3 linked regions of the Drosophila melanogaster genome follow. The gene in region 3 interacts genetically with the main gene of each other region. Each region holds a gene or a part of one and is shown on either strand. Other genes may lie near its edges.

Evidence for each region.
Region 1: of rdgB (region 3) and inaC, changing one suppresses a phenotype caused by changing the other (phenotypic suppression), as found in Drosophila melanogaster (one study listed by BioGRID).
Region 2: of rdgB (region 3) and Pld, changing one suppresses a phenotype caused by changing the other (phenotypic suppression), as found in Drosophila melanogaster (one study listed by BioGRID).

The regions. Positions count from the first base shown.
Region 1 is NT_033778.4:16,896,537-16,902,556, reverse strand, and holds inaC (inactivation no afterpotential C), read right to left. Parts: upstream 4,023-6,020; 5' UTR 3,913-4,022; coding exon 3,635-3,912; intron 3,474-3,634; coding exon 3,442-3,473; intron 3,388-3,441; coding exon 3,193-3,387; intron 3,133-3,192; coding exon 3,004-3,132; intron 2,943-3,003; coding exon 2,786-2,942; intron 2,726-2,785; coding exon 2,497-2,725; intron 2,443-2,496; coding exon 2,045-2,442; intron 1,982-2,044; coding exon 1,780-1,981; intron 1,721-1,779; coding exon 1,532-1,720; intron 1,475-1,531; coding exon 1,334-1,474; intron 1,273-1,333; coding exon 1,120-1,272; 3' UTR 982-1,119; downstream 1-981. UniProt on the Drosophila melanogaster protein: This is a calcium-activated, phospholipid-dependent, serine- and threonine-specific enzyme. This isozyme is a negative regulator of the visual transduction cascade and has been shown to be required for photoreceptor cell inactivation and light adaptation.
Region 2 is NT_033778.4:6,243,970-6,248,992, forward strand, and holds the start of Pld (phospholipase D), read left to right. Parts: upstream 1-1,542; 5' UTR 1,543-1,608; intron 1,609-2,294; 5' UTR 2,295-2,464; coding exon 2,465-2,615; intron 2,616-5,023.
Region 3 is NC_004354.4:13,760,697-13,766,242, forward strand, and holds the start of rdgB (retinal degeneration B), read left to right. Parts: upstream 1-2,055; 5' UTR 2,056-2,249; intron 2,250-2,372; exon of another isoform or gene 2,373-2,415; intron 2,416-5,546. Other genes in the region: Yp3 (yolk protein 3), read left to right, coding at 1-302. UniProt on the Drosophila melanogaster protein: Catalyzes the transfer of phosphatidylinositol (PI) and phosphatidic acid (PA) between membranes. May control phosphatidylinositol concentration in transport vesicles from the subrhabdomeric cisternae (SRC) to the rhabdomere.

The DNA of each region.
Region 1 (6,020 bases), on a different chromosome or scaffold from region 3:
GCACTTTGGTACATCCTAATACCTAAGCCAAACTCCAAACGGGGCCAACACGAAACGAACGACAGACCAAAGAGCGCAGCCCAAAGGCACATGTTGCGGTGGCGACGGCAGGAAGTGGAAAGCGCTGATTGGGGATGGATAAAGGAAACGCTGCACAAGGACATCGTCGACTGCACTCTGCAACCGGCGCAACCGGCCAGAGACAGTGGAACGTGTCTAAAAGCCGTGAAAAGTGCACGTAAACCCGCAAATTGCCGCTAATAGAGTGCAAACAGTTCTGAGCAGGATGTTGCCTTCGAAAAGGGAAGCTGCAAATCGTGGAAATTCATTTAGAACCAGGGCAGCGGAAAATAGCATTCGCCTTGAAATGCTTTTGACAGTCGATTAGATGAGCGCCCCAAATTAAAAATATCCGGGGAATTCCCGGTAGTGAAATTTCATATTAAAATGTGTCATAAGACATATTTGCCCTGGCACAGGAAAACTATTTGGCGACCCGTTAAACCGCTTTTCACCCCGTTGAATTTTACGCTCGACCCGCAAGATGGATTTGGGCAAAAATGTTCGAAGAATTTTCATCATACCCACATGAACGGCAATAAGTTGTGGCCTTGTGAGCAACTTTGAAATTCGACATACATAACTAAAAACTTTCAAGCCTGTTGATGAGTTTAGATTTTAACCAAAGTTGGCTAGTTAGCCCACTGGCAATCTTGAAACTTCCTGTCAGGGTTTCCTTGAGTGGAGCACACGCGGCGTATGCGTAACTAATTCAGGTGCTCTCGAGTGGTGAGTTTCCACAAAAGGATTTCCCCTTCCGAAAAGAGAGAAAGAGAAAGCAATCAGCTGCTGGTCCGGAACTTTCTCTGTTTTCTTTTACTATCTGGGCTTCAGAGGAAATGTTAATGTTAGTGGTGAAAAGCTGTCTCTTAAAAGAGAGAAAGCCAAAAGAAAAATCCACCCACTAAATATCAGAGCTTTAAGCGTTAAAGCTTTAATGAACATTTAGATGGCTTTTAGCGAAGGATACAATAAATAAATTTCGGTAAATTAACTTGCAAAAGCCTAGTTTTTCGAAGAAGCCTATAAACTTTTCTCAAAGCTTTTTTTTAGACCATTTTAAATGATGGTTATAAACTCGGGATTCATGAAAGAAAATCCGATAAAATCGTTCTGGTCCAAATTCATCATAAAAAGCTTGTCCGTTGGAGTTAAGTCCGTCTTCTCCTTGGTAAAGGCATCATCAAAGTTGCTTATATCCTTGCGATGTTTCTGAAATGTACCCAAGATTACAATAAAATGATTTCCTAGTGGGGCTCCTGTTTTAGCTTACAATCATTGGCTTAATAGGTGGCTCCATTTCGCATGCCTCTGCCTTATCCCAGTCCACATTCCGGAAGAAAGGATGCGTGGTAATCTCCTGTCTGGCATAGCGGCCTGCACCCAATCTATTGTTGGGCTTTTTGGTCAGGAACTTTGGAATACAAATCTATACCATTAGATTCATATGTTTTTGAAATCCAACACTTACGCTCGTTATTATATCCATGGCCTCCACGCTGAAATGCTTTGGAAACACCGCCTTCTTGTCCTTTATGTTCCTAAAGACAGTAGTTTCATCATCTCCTTCGAATGGAGCCTGACCTGCCATGAATTCGAAAAGCAATACACCAAAAGACCACCAATCAGCGGCGATGGAATACGGATCGTAGCTAACAATCTTAAATTATTTTTAAGCTGATTATTTTTACACTTATTTTTTTCGGCTGATTTACTTACTTCGGGAGCCATATAATTTGGAGTACCACAAAAGGTTCGTGTGGTCTGCCGCTCGGTAACGCCCTCTTTGCTCAATCCAAAGTCGACCAGCTTTACATGCCCCTCACCATCCAGCAAAATGTTGTCCAGCTTTAGATCTCTATAGATAATATCACGCTCGTGGAGGAAAAACAGAGCAATAGCCACTTCCACAGCGTAAAAACTAAGCACATAATATATAGAAGATTTCAAAATATGGTACTTGAATATAAATATTTGTACTCACATAGCCACAGACTCCTTGAACCTTCCATACTGCTGCATATGGTACATAAGATCTCCACCCTTACAGTACTCCATTACGAAGAATAATCGGTCCATAGTCTGGAAACATGAGTGCATGGAGACGAGGAAAGGAGGACGTCCGGATAGGGCTAGAATTTTCTTCTCATTCATTGGCAGCTCCATATCGTCCGTTTGGATAATGACATCCTTTCGCAGGACCTTCACGGCATACAGCTCATCCGTGCCACGACGCTCGGCCAGCAGGACTTTGCCAAAGGATCCCTTGCCAATAACTTTAACAAAGTTGAAATCAGCAGCTCGAATCATATCGCGTTTGCTCATATTATGCGGCATATCCTTGTTGTCCATGCGACGCTTTTCATTCGGACGACGATCGTGCTGAAAATCAGGAATATTAAATATGTGGCAAACTTGGTGAGGACATCCGCTTACCCTAACTTCATCCCTTAAGCGAGCTATATCATTAAAGGCATCCACACAGGGTATGTTATAATGTTCACCCTCCACTTGCGACAGAAACTTATACCAGCCATCAACTGGCTCCTTTTGCAGTTCCTCCAGGCTGAACGAGAACGATCCCATGAAATCATTGCGAGAAGTTCGATCCCAATCCCAAACCTCGATGAGCAAACGCTTGTCACGGTCCTGCGGCTGCAACTCACTAGGATTAAAGAAAATATGGTAAAGAGGTCTATTTAGAGGATTAGTTTTCAACTATTACAAAGTAAAAGTCTCGTTGAACACTGGATTGAGGTTTTTCTGAATGGTCTTGGTCTTCTTTTTGGTGCGCCCCGAACGGTCCGGATGCATTTGCACTGCAATATAGGGATCGCTAAACCCGTTGGTATCCATGGGAATGAGGTTAGCTGCCTCCTTAACTGCAGTATGAAAGAAACATTAATCTTTATATGGGCATATAAACTTTAAGTAATAACTTACTATCAACTTTCAAGTTATTGCCCTTAAGCTCGACGTATAGCAGTAGTTTACCCCTCACCTCGCTGATGTCCGCACCACACATCGGTGGCACTGTCTCCTGGCAGGCGTGATGCACATTTAGGTTGCAATCTGAAATATTTGGGTTAATAGCTTGAAAGCAATAGGACTCGAGTTTATTCAGGAATTTACTCTCGCACTTGACGCCCTGATGGGCGACTCCATGGAGCAGCAGTCCGCACTCGTCGCAGAATGTCGGTGTGGTGTAGGTGGTGGAAATCCAGCCGTGCTTCACCTTAGCGCAGTCGGCATCGAAGTCCGTGTCCTTGCCAGGACATTTGAACACCACAAATTTACAGCACTTCTGGTGAATGTTGAAGCGGCATTCTGCGTATGCAAATATTTTAAAAGATTTTTTAAATTGTGAACATTTCTACCTACCCTCGCACTGAAAACCTTGCTTGCCAAAGCCCCTAATCCCGGCACGAATCCGCGAATGCAACAATGCGAAACGGAAGAACAGCGAAAAAAATATAGAAAAAACAACGAAAAGTGTGTCAGCAACGAAGGCACTAATTAAATTAACGATGGGAACGCTGAGATGCCAGCAAAAACCGAAAACGAAATTTCTCACCAGATGAAATCCTTGCAATGACCGCAGTAGGTTGGATTCTTAAAGAATCTAACTCCGAAACGATGACCATTGACCATTTCGAGACCCTTTCGCTTCATCGCACCCTTCCTTAGACGATTCTTCATATAGTTGACGATATTTGCTTCGCCAGTGATCTCCAGTAGATTTCCTGGACCTTTGCCAGCTCCAGCCGCTGGAGCCTTGGCCCCTGGAGCGGCACTGGGCACCGAGGGAGGGAGCACAGTGGCCCCCGGTGTGGCAACAGCAGCCGCAGCCATTAAAAGATAATGTCAGGGAATTGGATAGCTAGTGAAGAGAAAAAGCTGACTCAGACCGTACGGTTTCAAGCCCGTCTAGAAACTGACCCGGTCGGTCAGGTGAAGACCCTAAAAGAAGCAACTTGGAAGCCAACAAAGTGCACACACAAAGTTGAAGGCAAGAAAATGACACAGAGTGATGCAAACGGGCGACAGTTTGGACTTATGCAATAGTGCATAAGACGTAATTTCATTCATAAATTTTCCAAATATGTATTTGTTCCTAGCTTATAGAAACCTCCTTATCCATATCTCATTATATTTGTGTAGACTGAATAAAAAATGTAATATAAATACAACATAATACTGCTCATACATATCAAAAAAAAACCATAAGAGAAATGTTTCAGAAAAATACCCTTCTGATTTAAAATTATTTCTGCACATGTAAAGCAGCTAAAAGAAAATAAAATATGTGTGAGTAAACACACGAATATTAAACGTTAATTATGCACATATCAAAGTGAATAATATTTTATAGCCTCTTTATTGCATGTTTTTTTAATTATTTAAAATCGGACATTTGTGGAACTATTTACCACAATTAAATTGTGCCTTTGTTAGCGTAAATCGGTGTTAAACAATTGTGTAATATTTGAGACTTTGTATGATTAATTTCTGTCAATTTCTAGGTACTTAATATATGTGTGCGCATTTTAAAAGTCAAATTTAATGCTTTTAACCATTTCATAACAATGAATGTCATGTCCAAAGCATCCTTACTACTAGTCCCTATAGATCTTACACAAGTTGCCATGCAACCATTTGCTCTATGCCTGGGTAATCAGCACTTATCCACGCTGATTCAGTTAGTTCGGCAGTTAGCCCCCATCGCAATTGTCCCCCAGGAAAAAGCACTCAACGACGTCCCGTCAATCGAACGGAGGACCGAAGAGTGAAAGCCAAGAACTCTCGTCTTTGGGCCCTTACCAGCGATAAGTGTAAACAGCTTGGGAAAGGTCAAGAAGGTGCTTACCTGGCCAGAAGACAAACATAATCATCATCGGAGCCATTGCTCCGGACAACTGCAGCTGTGACGTCAATGCAATAAAATTGGAAAAGTGGGCGAAGGGGTTTCGGAAAATGGTGATGTGCGAAAGCTTCTATGTGTGTGTGTGTGTGTATGTGTGACTATTGTCGATTGAGTATTTATACTGTGTGGCAGTTTTGATTAATTTATGCAATTGCTGGCAGGGCACGTTTTCCGTGAAAGAACCCCCCATTTAAGCGCCGCCCCTGCAAGCCAGCTGGCTTTCAGTGCAGGGCTAAAAATAGAAATAGAAAACGCAGAATTGAGCACAAAGTGCACACAGGACACAGAAGGACACGCTGGCTGGCAAGGCAAACAAAATACAAAATAAAAGCGGTTAGCTGAAATCCAAGCTGAAACAACTAAAAACGCTACCGAAAGCAGCGATGAAATGGGTTGGAAAATGCATTAAAGCGGAAATGTAGGACCTTTGTCGGGGAAAAATGCCATTAAAGCAGGTCCAAGTCAAAGTATCTAAGTATCTGCAGCGGCACGCGTATCTGTATCTCAGAAGTGCACTCAGTGAGTCGACAAATATGCACTCGCAGATTGCCCAGAACTACAGAACTGCACACCTGTCGGTTGAAAGGCATTGACAAGGGGGTTTCGGCGAGCAGAGGGAATTGCAAATAGATTTCGTTGCCGTGGCAGCTTTGGCTTTCAATTTACGTCATCATTTCCATGGCGTCGCCAAACAATTTTCCCCTCCATTTTTCCCTCTTGGCCATTTCACAAAAGCAGGCCAAGCCGCAAAGAGCCAGAGAGCCGCCTCTCAGCGTATAACACATTTTTGTTTAGCTTTACTTCCAGGTTATTTACTCTGACTTTACTTTGCATTACTTTTCTCTGGCTTCGTTTGCTTTTGGCCAAGGCTTTGTTGTTTTCCTTATTCTGTTGTTCGCCATTTCAACATTTGGCAATTCCGCTTGGCTACTTGTTAGCCGACCGTCTTGTTTTTGACCTGCGCCCTTAACACCTATTGATCTGCAGCGCACCTGTCGTGAGTTACTAGCTGTATAATGACCTTTGGACCATGGCA
Region 2 (5,023 bases), on a different chromosome or scaffold from region 3:
TTTTAACGAATCTAGTATACCCTTTTACTCTACGAGTAACGGGTACAACAAAAATGCTATATTCGACTTATGTTCTGACAGTCAGATACCCGTTACTCAGTTAGTGGAAATGGTGAATTGATTGAGAAAATATTTAAACAAATTTGAAAGTATGGGCGTGGCAAAAAGTTTTTTGGTAAATCGATAAAAATTTACAAGTGTAATAAAAATATAAAAAAAAATTTGAAAACATTTTTTAAAAGTGCAAGGATGTGCAAGTTTTAGGCGGCTATAGGCATTAGGGGGGCTTGGCAACTTTCTATCTGTTATATTTTGGAAGTGACAAACAGGTTCTTTTTTCGTCTTGGGCAACTATTATAATATATTATATTATATACTAAATAACAAGTTTACAAAGAATTCACTACACTAGTAATAAAAGCTATCACTACTTCAAAGTTAGCAGACCCAATACGAAATTCAATGACCAAATAGAAGTCAGCACCAAAACTTAATTACTTAAAAATTTCTTTGAGTGACAGAAGGAAAACTTATATTAGGACAGTATATTTCTTAGATTAGATTTATGGAAGATAACAATGTACTAATTTCTGAATTGTTTAAATAATATCGAACGAGTCAACTACCTTATCCAAACCGCTACCGGAGCACTATCCCTTCGAAAGCTTAGTCTCATTTCTCAACAGCTAACTATAATTTGAAAATATTTAGAATAAAGTTATTGTTCGATAGGCTCATGTTTTTTTTGGGATGAAAGGGGATTTTTATTAAATGTCCGAAAATAATTTTTCGTCACTAAAGTTTGGTATGGTATTTGGCATGATGCGATCGTCAAATGTTTTTACCGAGTCACTAACTTGGACATAGTCTCTAAAACATACTTTTGATTTTATTTTTACTTAGTTCCGAACTAGGGGTCAATAATTTAAGTTATTGAAATTCAGTTGCCCCGCGTGGGACAATCTAATCGAATGCTAATTGTAATTCGGTTATTTATCCTGCGCACTTCATTGGGGTCGTACAAATAATGAGTTCTGATTACAGCGATTGTGCCCAAGTCTAGTGTTGCCGATAAGATAGCCGCAATAGATACTAAGCAGAGCTACATGCACACCCAAAGTGCCGTTGTGACTCATCGACTCCTCGACCATTGTTGCGGGTCCGACAATAGGCCTGTACTCGATCAGCGATTTTTAAAAGGTGTGTGAACCGCGCAGAAAGCTTTGGAAAGCTTGTAGAGTTTGTGCCAATGCCTCGGCAGAGAACTTGTTCTTATGGATTGTGGCTGACCTTGCCGTAGAAGCCCATTATGTTTTTATTTGCATAATACCTTAGAACAGTCGAAGGGTTTTCGGGCTATCGCATTTCAATATCTTGGAGATTATGAAAAGCTTTGCCAGCTGTTTTGAAGTTCGCAGCTGTGCTCTGGAAAACTCCCTCTCCATTACCAACTTGCGGCATTGACGCTCTCGCCGTAACCGTTACCCGTTAACCGTTTTGAGCTCGGCGACCTAAGCTTTTGGCTGCGTCGCGAGGTTTAGTTAATATTATTAACCGGAGTGACGGCCAAGTTGTCGCAACGTTTCTCGTGGATCGCAGATCGTGGCGGTAAGGCGAGCTTTTTGCCGGGGGCTCAAAGTGTGAGTGTGAGGTGTCTTCAGTTTGGTTTTTTTCACATAGCGTGGCATTACTCTCTTTGACGAATTCAATGCGACGTCGCGCTTTTTTCGGTTCTGCAACTTCCGTTAGTCGGTGGCTCGAAAAGTAAACAAAGTGCTGCATATCGCATGCAAACGTGACAATCTTTCAGACGCACTCCAACTTGATAACTTGATAAGCATCTGTGAGATGCAAAGATACAAGTTATAAAGCACCATCTCGCGAAGCCATGTAGCCGAGTGAAAAAAGTAAAATATGCGAAAGCAGAAAAACAAAAAATTTGTGCGTGTGTTAGTTGGCCATTGTGCAAACCTTTAATGAGCTGGAAGCGCCAAAAGCCAAATACCAACGAATATAAAGAGCACGCGAAACATTCAGTTATATTTGCAAAACTTGGTTTTGTGTTCACGCAAAGATAACGATATGCCATGATAAAAATTTAATTAATTATTTTTCAATGCAAGGGATATAAAAAAAGAAAAGTATACACGCTGTGACTGAATGAAACTTGGAAGGCAAAATTAATTTAAATGATTATTTTCGTGGCGCAAAGTATCCTTCCTTCCTCTACTTACCTCCACGGCAATAAGTCCATTATACACAAACGCGGTATTTATAATTTGTGGTTTAAACAGCCTCCGCAGGCCGCAGAACGGACATTTTTCACGTAGGCGAACTGTCGATGCGACTGAGAAATGCAAAAAACTGGAGCCGACAACAAAAGCTTCCTATCTATAAAGCCAAAAACCGATTGCCAAAAATAAAATAGAGCCCATTAAATAGCCCGCGTAAAGCGCACACAACAATGATGGCCACGTGCTTGGATACCAAAACCAGCAAGAACCATGAGGCCCAGCAACTGCAACTGCCCCGGCAGGCGTCATCGAACGCCAACTTGCCACATTTGCAGGTCCGACGTCATCGCCGCAGCATCTCACAGCTGATGGCCAGCATGGGTAATTTTTAGATCTGAAGATAAAGATATTTTCATTTGCATAGATTACTTGGTTCTCGTAGAGCGGCAATGAAATATGTGCGTCATCGTGAGATGAGATAAGAGTGATCATGTTTGCTAAGATATTTCAACATTTAGAACTGGTTGGCGGTAGGTGTTATGGTATGCGAAAGTGAAAAATCATTCTGCACCAAGTTTTCATTGTTTCAATTTGGGGCGATTTATAACAATGAGTGTGCAGTCGAACTTAAATAAGTGTAGTAGTGTAGGGAACCAAGAACTGATAACGATTTCATTGCCTAAATAATAAATTAGCCGAACAATACCCGTTTCCTTTGGATTATATAAGCCTTTACCCACTTATTGCTTCCATCAAATTGCGTGTTGGGCTCGGCCTAACGGTGCAATTAGTAAATGAATCATAATCAATTTTAAAATGCATGACGCGCTGCAAGTAACGATACATGCCGATATTGTTAAAAATATATCGAGCCTGATTTACATTTGTACTCATGCTCGATCATTGCAACAGGAAGTTTCGATTTCTTTGCAATTGTGTGTAGGTCAGGTGAAGCAAGCGATCGGTGGGTTTAATAACCTTTTCAGTAGACCGGCCACTGACAAAACCCGCTAAACAAAGGCGATTCAAAATGAACGCCCTCGGTCTGAGGACATTTTGATAACGGGCATTAAATGGAAAGCATTAACATTCCTGCAAAAAAAAATACAATGCATATAACAGAATTTTTCAGTTAAATCAAAAATGTTTAAGTAACATTTAATTCGGCAATTTAGAACTAGTTTTTTTTCACACCAATGCCCTATCAATAGGAATGGGATACCACAGCTTTATTCGCCACCATAAAAACGTATTATTGTGGTTGGAGTTTAGTTTTTTCAACGAAAAATTGTATATTCTTGAAACAAAATGGGGTTACTTCTATTCGTCTTATCTGTTAGTGATAAAAGTGTCAAGTTTTTTTTAAGTTAATTTGCTTGCCAAAACCAATGAGCCAAAACTAATGAGTTCGGCAAATCGCTTTGAAAGTGAAAAGGTGTTAAGAAATTATGGTTCTTTTATTGAGTACGGTGTTACACTTATTATACCGCCTTAAATTTCTGAAAACGGCGGCCGATGATTGAATAATAGGTCCAAGGTTTAATTATATCCACAATTCTCTTTAACGATTCGTCTAATCAAATACATTTTTGATGGACTTAAATTTTTTTATTTTTTCACTTTTATCACAAATCATGGAACTCGAGCATTAAAGAAGTTTTTGTTTTTGCCTCCAGAAGTTTTTGTTTGGTGACTTGAAGCTGATAGCAAAAAGAGCTTCGTGATAAGGCATATGCCAACACTCGTTATTTTCACTACCCATATAATAACGAATTCAATACCAAGAATTTATGCCTGCCAGTTGAACTTGCCCATAAGCTAGCCTGTGTATGTAAAAGTGTGGTAATAAAACTTTGATGGCACTTATTATGATAGGGTATCATGGAAGTGCCCCAATGTCATTGATCATTGACGGCCATTATCAAATTCTTTGCACTCGGCGTTCCAGTTTATTTTAATTATCACAAGTGATAAGGAGCAATCGTAAGTTATGACTCGTTCAATTGTTTGATAAATTAAACCAACAACTTCTGAAACAGTATCTTAACAAAAATTTTCAGGTGTCGCTACCTTTTTTTTTTAAAAAACCATTTTCGATTTTTGAATTTTAAATATTTCTATACGCGGTACTCAGCGGACAGAAATAAAGTTACTCTGTGAATAGGCGAATAGGACAGGACACCTGTTATTGTCTGCTAATCAAAGCACTTGACTAAGTACTGATTTATTCTGTTTATTACTATCGTCGATAACTGAACCTGTGCACTTTTGCAAAGCCGTGCCGCATCCATAAACTCACTTAACCGTCATTGGTTGGCCTACCTACTGTGCAGTATGGCCTAATCTATTTGTTGTGCCGTTTTATTTGGGCTTGCTATCTAAATGTCAATCAGCTAGAAGCTGATTGCTCAAGTATTTTGGGAAAACAGAACAGTAGAGATTAGGACAGGTATATGGCAAAACTGTATCTCCAAAAGATGCGTACGATACCTAATATTCTCCTCTGATTTGCGTTCTCAGCCAGTAGCACTGAGCTAAGGAAAATGCTATACTTACGGGCGAAGGAGGTGCGTCGTGTGTATTTAGCTTTAAATGTTTTCAAGGTTCGAGCAGGGTTCCTATGTCAAGTTCAGCCGACCATAATGCATTAAACTTAACTACACCACATGTCGTGAGCTCTGACCTTGAGCGAGCTTCTGTTTCGAATGTAGATAGCACTTGCTAATTATTACCATTTAATGGTTACAACACAGGCCGTTCAGCCGGGGGACATATCTCAAAAATGTTAT
Region 3 (5,546 bases):
GACCGTCCACCGGTGTTCCCGGCTCCGAGAATGTGATCGAGGCTGTGGCCCGTGCCACCCGTTACTTTGCCGAGTCTGTGCGTCCCGGTAGCGAGCGCAATTTCCCCGCCGTTCCGGCCAACTCGCTGAAGCAGTACAAGGAGCAGGATGGCTTTGGCAAGCGCGCCTACATGGGTCTCCAGATCGACTACGATCTGCGCGGTGACTACATCTTGGAGGTCAACGCCAAGAGCCCCTTCGGTCAGCGCAGCCCTGCCCACAAGCAGGCCGCCTACCATGGCATGCACCACGCCCAGAACTAGAGCGCCCATGGCCACGCCCCCTGGTTACCAGGGACGTTCGATCGTCACGCACTTTCTGATAATCAGAAAATAAAAACCCGGAATGCGTAGTTTAGCTTAGAAGTTTCATCAAACAATCAAAAAAGAAAAATCTATAAAATCCCATAAAAATAAAAGCTGCAAATTTTCGAAAAGTCAAGTTTTTTAATAGCAATAGCAATGGTTATTCTGGATTGGATTCTAACTTTTATGGTATTAAAAAACACACACAAGAATTTGCTGGGCACATTTTTAGGCACCCCTTCTGAAGTAAATAGAAAAATTTCCGAAAATATACATATTTAACATAGTAAATCGGCCAAACAACTTAAATGAGCTAATAATAAAAAGATAAATGCATATATCACAGGTGATCTTAAGCAGATGCTTAACCAAAAAACAACACGATAAATAAAGCAAACAAAAAGTGCCTAAAATACAATTATGATACCTAATGAAAGGTACACGAAAGAAAATGTAGATAATAAATAAACTGAAAAGAAATTAGGAATAACTCATAAAAATCAAAATTTAGAAAACTGTGCAGCTTGGTATTTACTAGCACCCTAGATGCTTAACAGGATTGCGAAGTTGGGATGGAAATACGCACAAGGAGATGGATGCATTGAGTGGGCGGAAGTGAGAGTGAGGCAACTAGTGTCCGTTGCCATTTGATGTGCACTCAATTAAAATTTGCATTCGGTTTATCGTTAGTGACTACTCGTTCAAAAATCACTGGGCAACCTGTGTAAACTCAATTGTTCCTTACAGTTTTGGGACATGCGCGGTGTAAATGTCAAAGTTGAACTTTATCAAATGCAATAGACAAACTAGAAAGGGCAGCGAAAACAGCAGAGTCGAAAATAGAGCGAGATAGGGAGCTGGAGTGACAGGAGCGGAATGACAACAGTTGGCGTCTTTTGTTTGTGCATGTCGTGACATGTTTGCTTTGACTCTGACCGAACGGAATGCGCCGTTAAGCTTATCTTCTTACCGTACACTTAGAGCGTCTTCTCTCTCTCTCTCTCTCACTATTTGCCCTTCAGCGTTTGTTCTTCTTTTTGGGCTTGGCAAGCTCTTGCTCTCGCTGCTTTTCTCCAGAAGAGAGCGCACAAGGACGCCGGGACGTTGGCATTTTGTGGGGTTCTGGCCATCCGAGTTTCTTGCAGAAATTACTGTATATTATTCATTGGCCGATATGCATAAATCCAATTTACGAAACCCCCCCTTTTCAGCCTAGCCAGCTGAGTGTCCCCGCAAAAGGAGAGAAAGGCAAAGAGAGTGAGAGTGACGCTTTCTCGCGCGCTTTTGTTGCGCACAAATAAAGTAAGGGGTTTTCCGCGAATCGTCAGTTGAGAATTGAGAACTGAACTGACCGTTTTCAGAAACGGTGGCGTTTTAACTTTTTTGTTATTTAATTAGTCCTTAAATAGTCCTTTTCTAAAATGTACTTAAAACATGTATGTATATGTAATGTAGAAATAGTTTTTTAATATCTAAGCAAAAATTATCCAGATTGCAAATATGTACATACATACATATGTATTTATGTATATACTAGTATACTTTTTATGAGTCTGGCGATTTTGCGGTGATACTCATTTTCGGAACGCCTCGCTCTCTCCGCTCATTTCTCTTGGCTTTGCTTTTGCTTTAGCTTCGTTTGCTTTTCGGCGTTCGTTCAGTTCAGCGTTCGGCGTTCCGTTCAGTTCATTTCGGTTTGGTTCATCTTACTTCAGTTCGGAATCAAACGCGAGCCGAGTCGCAATCGCAACTTTGCCGCCGCGCAGCGCACGCTGTTTTTTTTTCAGTGTGTACGTTTTGATTGCAAAAAGAAATAAGCAAACGCAAGGCAAGCAGCAACAACGCTGAAAACATTTTTCATCTGCGGCCTGGAAAAGCGCCCCGAAGAAAATGAATAGATAAATTGTATTAATCGCCCAATCGAGTCAGCATATATCCACTGTATATTTATATTTTGTTGTGCGTTGTTCGTTGTTTTTTTTTCTCCTTTGCGCTTTGGACCTTACTCTTTTGTTGTTAATTGTCCAGCTGCCCGCAATGATAATAATGTGAGTTGGCCCGCCGAAAGTTGGTACGTTTTCCACTGCTGCTCTTTTTTCACCTTTGTTTGTAACAAATGGAATAGTTTACAACAAAATTCGTAAAATTAGTTAAGGATACTTCGGTTGTCGTGTGTGTGTGTGTGTGGGTGGCAGCTGCGTAAATGCGTAAGCTGCGTCGCGTTTGTGTAAGTGTGTGTGTGTTGGCTGTGGCCAGGTCTCAAGGTCCCGTTAGCTCTCTCCCACCGCTCTTCCTGTTTCACGCTTTTGCTCTCTTTTACAAACAACAACAAGTCTGTGATAAGAATTTTCCATGCGTAATTTTCACGTAAAGCTTTGTTTTGTTATGTTTGGTACTTTTGCACTTTTATAAATCGGATAAAGTTTATTACAGTTCAGCGTTTTAAAAAGTCTTTTATAGCCATCTTAATGATTGATTTTTTAAAGTATTTTTTAAGGAATTTAAGTCAAATTAAAAATAAAAATATTAATTTATAACTATTTCTTTAAAAAAATGCTTTAATCTAAAAATGATAAATTTCTTAAGAATAATATTGTTAGAAATGTTTTCATTATGAGTTCATAAAAAATAACTTTTTTTGGTTAATGTTCCATAAATAATTTTTTACACATTTCATTATACTAAAAAAATAGGAACTTAACTCAGATGAAAAATAAAAATATTTATTCGAAAGCACTGCTCTGGAATTTATAACCATTGGTTTTTGAAAAAAAGTCTTTAATCTTAGAAATTATGAATTTCCTATGATTAATATTTTTAGGAATGTACATTTTTCATAAATGAGTCTATAAAAGATATCTTTGTACAAAATAAATATTATTATATAGGCCCTTTTTGAGATGAACCCAAGAAATACGTTTGTTGTGTTCTTATTTTTGCTGCTTATTGTATTTATAAATTATTAATAAGCACAAAGCGTGCCACAGGTGTGCACGAAGGAGTGAGCGAGACGGGGAGAGTGGGTGAGAGCCAAAGAGAGAGTACGTGACCTTTTTTTCTTGCTCTTTTCCGTCTAATTTAGCTCACTAAACTTGAGACTCGGATTTAATAGGCTTTCTTTCAACCTTTGCTTTCTTTGCATCCCAACCCGTCTATTTCTGTCTCTGTCTCGCGTTCATTTATTTCCGCTTGAGTGCGTTTTCTGTTGTTGTTGCTTTTCTTCGTTTTATTACCTTTTTTTGCACATTTTTCTACACCTTTTTTTTTATTGTATTGCTTGGTCAATTACCATGGCAATTTATTTATCAGTTTGGCGTTTTTGATGTTGCAACAATTGCGCAAATTTATTTCCTCTATTTTCACTATTTGAGCTTCTGTCTGGCAGACTTAATAACAAAAATGGTTTTGTGCATAAAAGCGTGGAATTTTACCCATCTTCATCTTATGATTTTACACGGAGAGAAAAGTATATCAAGCAATCTTAAAAATAATTTAAATATCAGAGTGGACATGGATAAAATGTGCATTGTGTTAATATATTTTAATAATATTAATGAATGAAAATATTTGTGATATTGCTCTTACTTTTCTCCGTGTGCATACCCTTGCTTTACCCTTTGGTCACATCATAAACAAAAATTTTTTAAATGACAAAATACATCATAAACAACCACATTGAAGGCTACGTGCACTTTGGCCGGATCTTTTATAGCCAGCACATGTGTGCGTTTGTAATTTGTTTATTGATGCACAGTGGGCCGCTTTTTCATCTCCGGGCTGCTATATCATTTAAAAAAAAAGGTGTTTTCTAGTCTAGATTTCTCGAATGCCCCCCGCCAAATAAGAAGACTTTAAGCGAATCGTAAATAATGTCCATTTTTTTATAAGCCCCATAAAGGAAGCTCCATTGTAATAAATCTTATCGCTGCAAAGTTTTTTCTCATCGTGAATATTAACATTTCTTATCACTTTTAACTGCAGGTGCTTTCTTCTTATATGAACTTTACTTGTGTTCTCTAAAAGTCGTAAAAATGTACATACATATGAATATTAAATTGGGAAAAGTAATTGCAGTTGTAAACAAAACCTAGCATTCTTCATATAGTGCTAACTGCACATTGTTACTTTCGCTAGCTTAACAGAAATTTTTTACACCAAAAAAGTTGTTTCACAACTTTAAAACAGTGGAAGATACATGTTTTCGTTATGAAATTATCTGTTTTTCTTATATATAGGACACACTTTCGATAACCTTTGACCCAGTGTAGCAAAGAAAATCTGTTGGCGCATTTTCTGTGTCACAAAATGTAATTATGCTAAGGAGGCAAAAAAAAAAAACAGAAAAATGGTGATGTGTGGAGGCTAACGGGGGGTGGAGAGTGCTAGGCGAAAAGGGGGCGTGGCATGGCAGGGGGAAGGGGGCCTAAAGCGGTGGCCATATTGTTGGGGCTTACGATTCGTTACGGCCTGCCATGTAACTGCCATGACATAAACATGTGCATGTCTGTGTTCGTTTCCCCTTCCCCCACTGCCCGCTGTGCCCAATAATTATTGATTGACGGCCCTCCTTTATTGTGCCTCTTATTTTAGCATCTAGAACATCCCGCCCCCTCCCCCATTTCCCCAACAATGTCTATCCAGATCTTATTAGGATCAAACCATATATAACTACAAACTAATGAAACTATGCCATAATATAATTACATATATCAAAAGCTTCTTTTTAGTAATTTCATATAGAATGAATGTATTGTATTATGTATTAGATATTCTGTAGCTTGTTTTTCTTAATCTCATAGTAAATAGGGAAATCTAAACTTTTGCGCAACATGGTTGAGTGTTGAGTTTGCATGCTAAGTGCCACTTACATCAATTTACAAAATCCCCATTCCCCCCTTTTCGACCAACACAAAAGCTCCAATTAAAAAGTAAGCTCCTTTGGGATCCATAAATTGGATGGGGGAATACAATAGCACTTAATGAGGAGCTGGACAAATTTGTGGTCGAGATAAATACGCGATAAGATCTAAACAGATTAGGAGTCTAATGAAGGTCATTAGCAATGGAAGTTCACAGCTTGTAAGCACAGTGGGGCTACGTAGTTAAGAGGTTTAATTGTAGTTTAAGAATATATATATGCTATATGCCCAAGAATATTCTATTATATTTGATAATATAAATATATAGATATATAGATATACT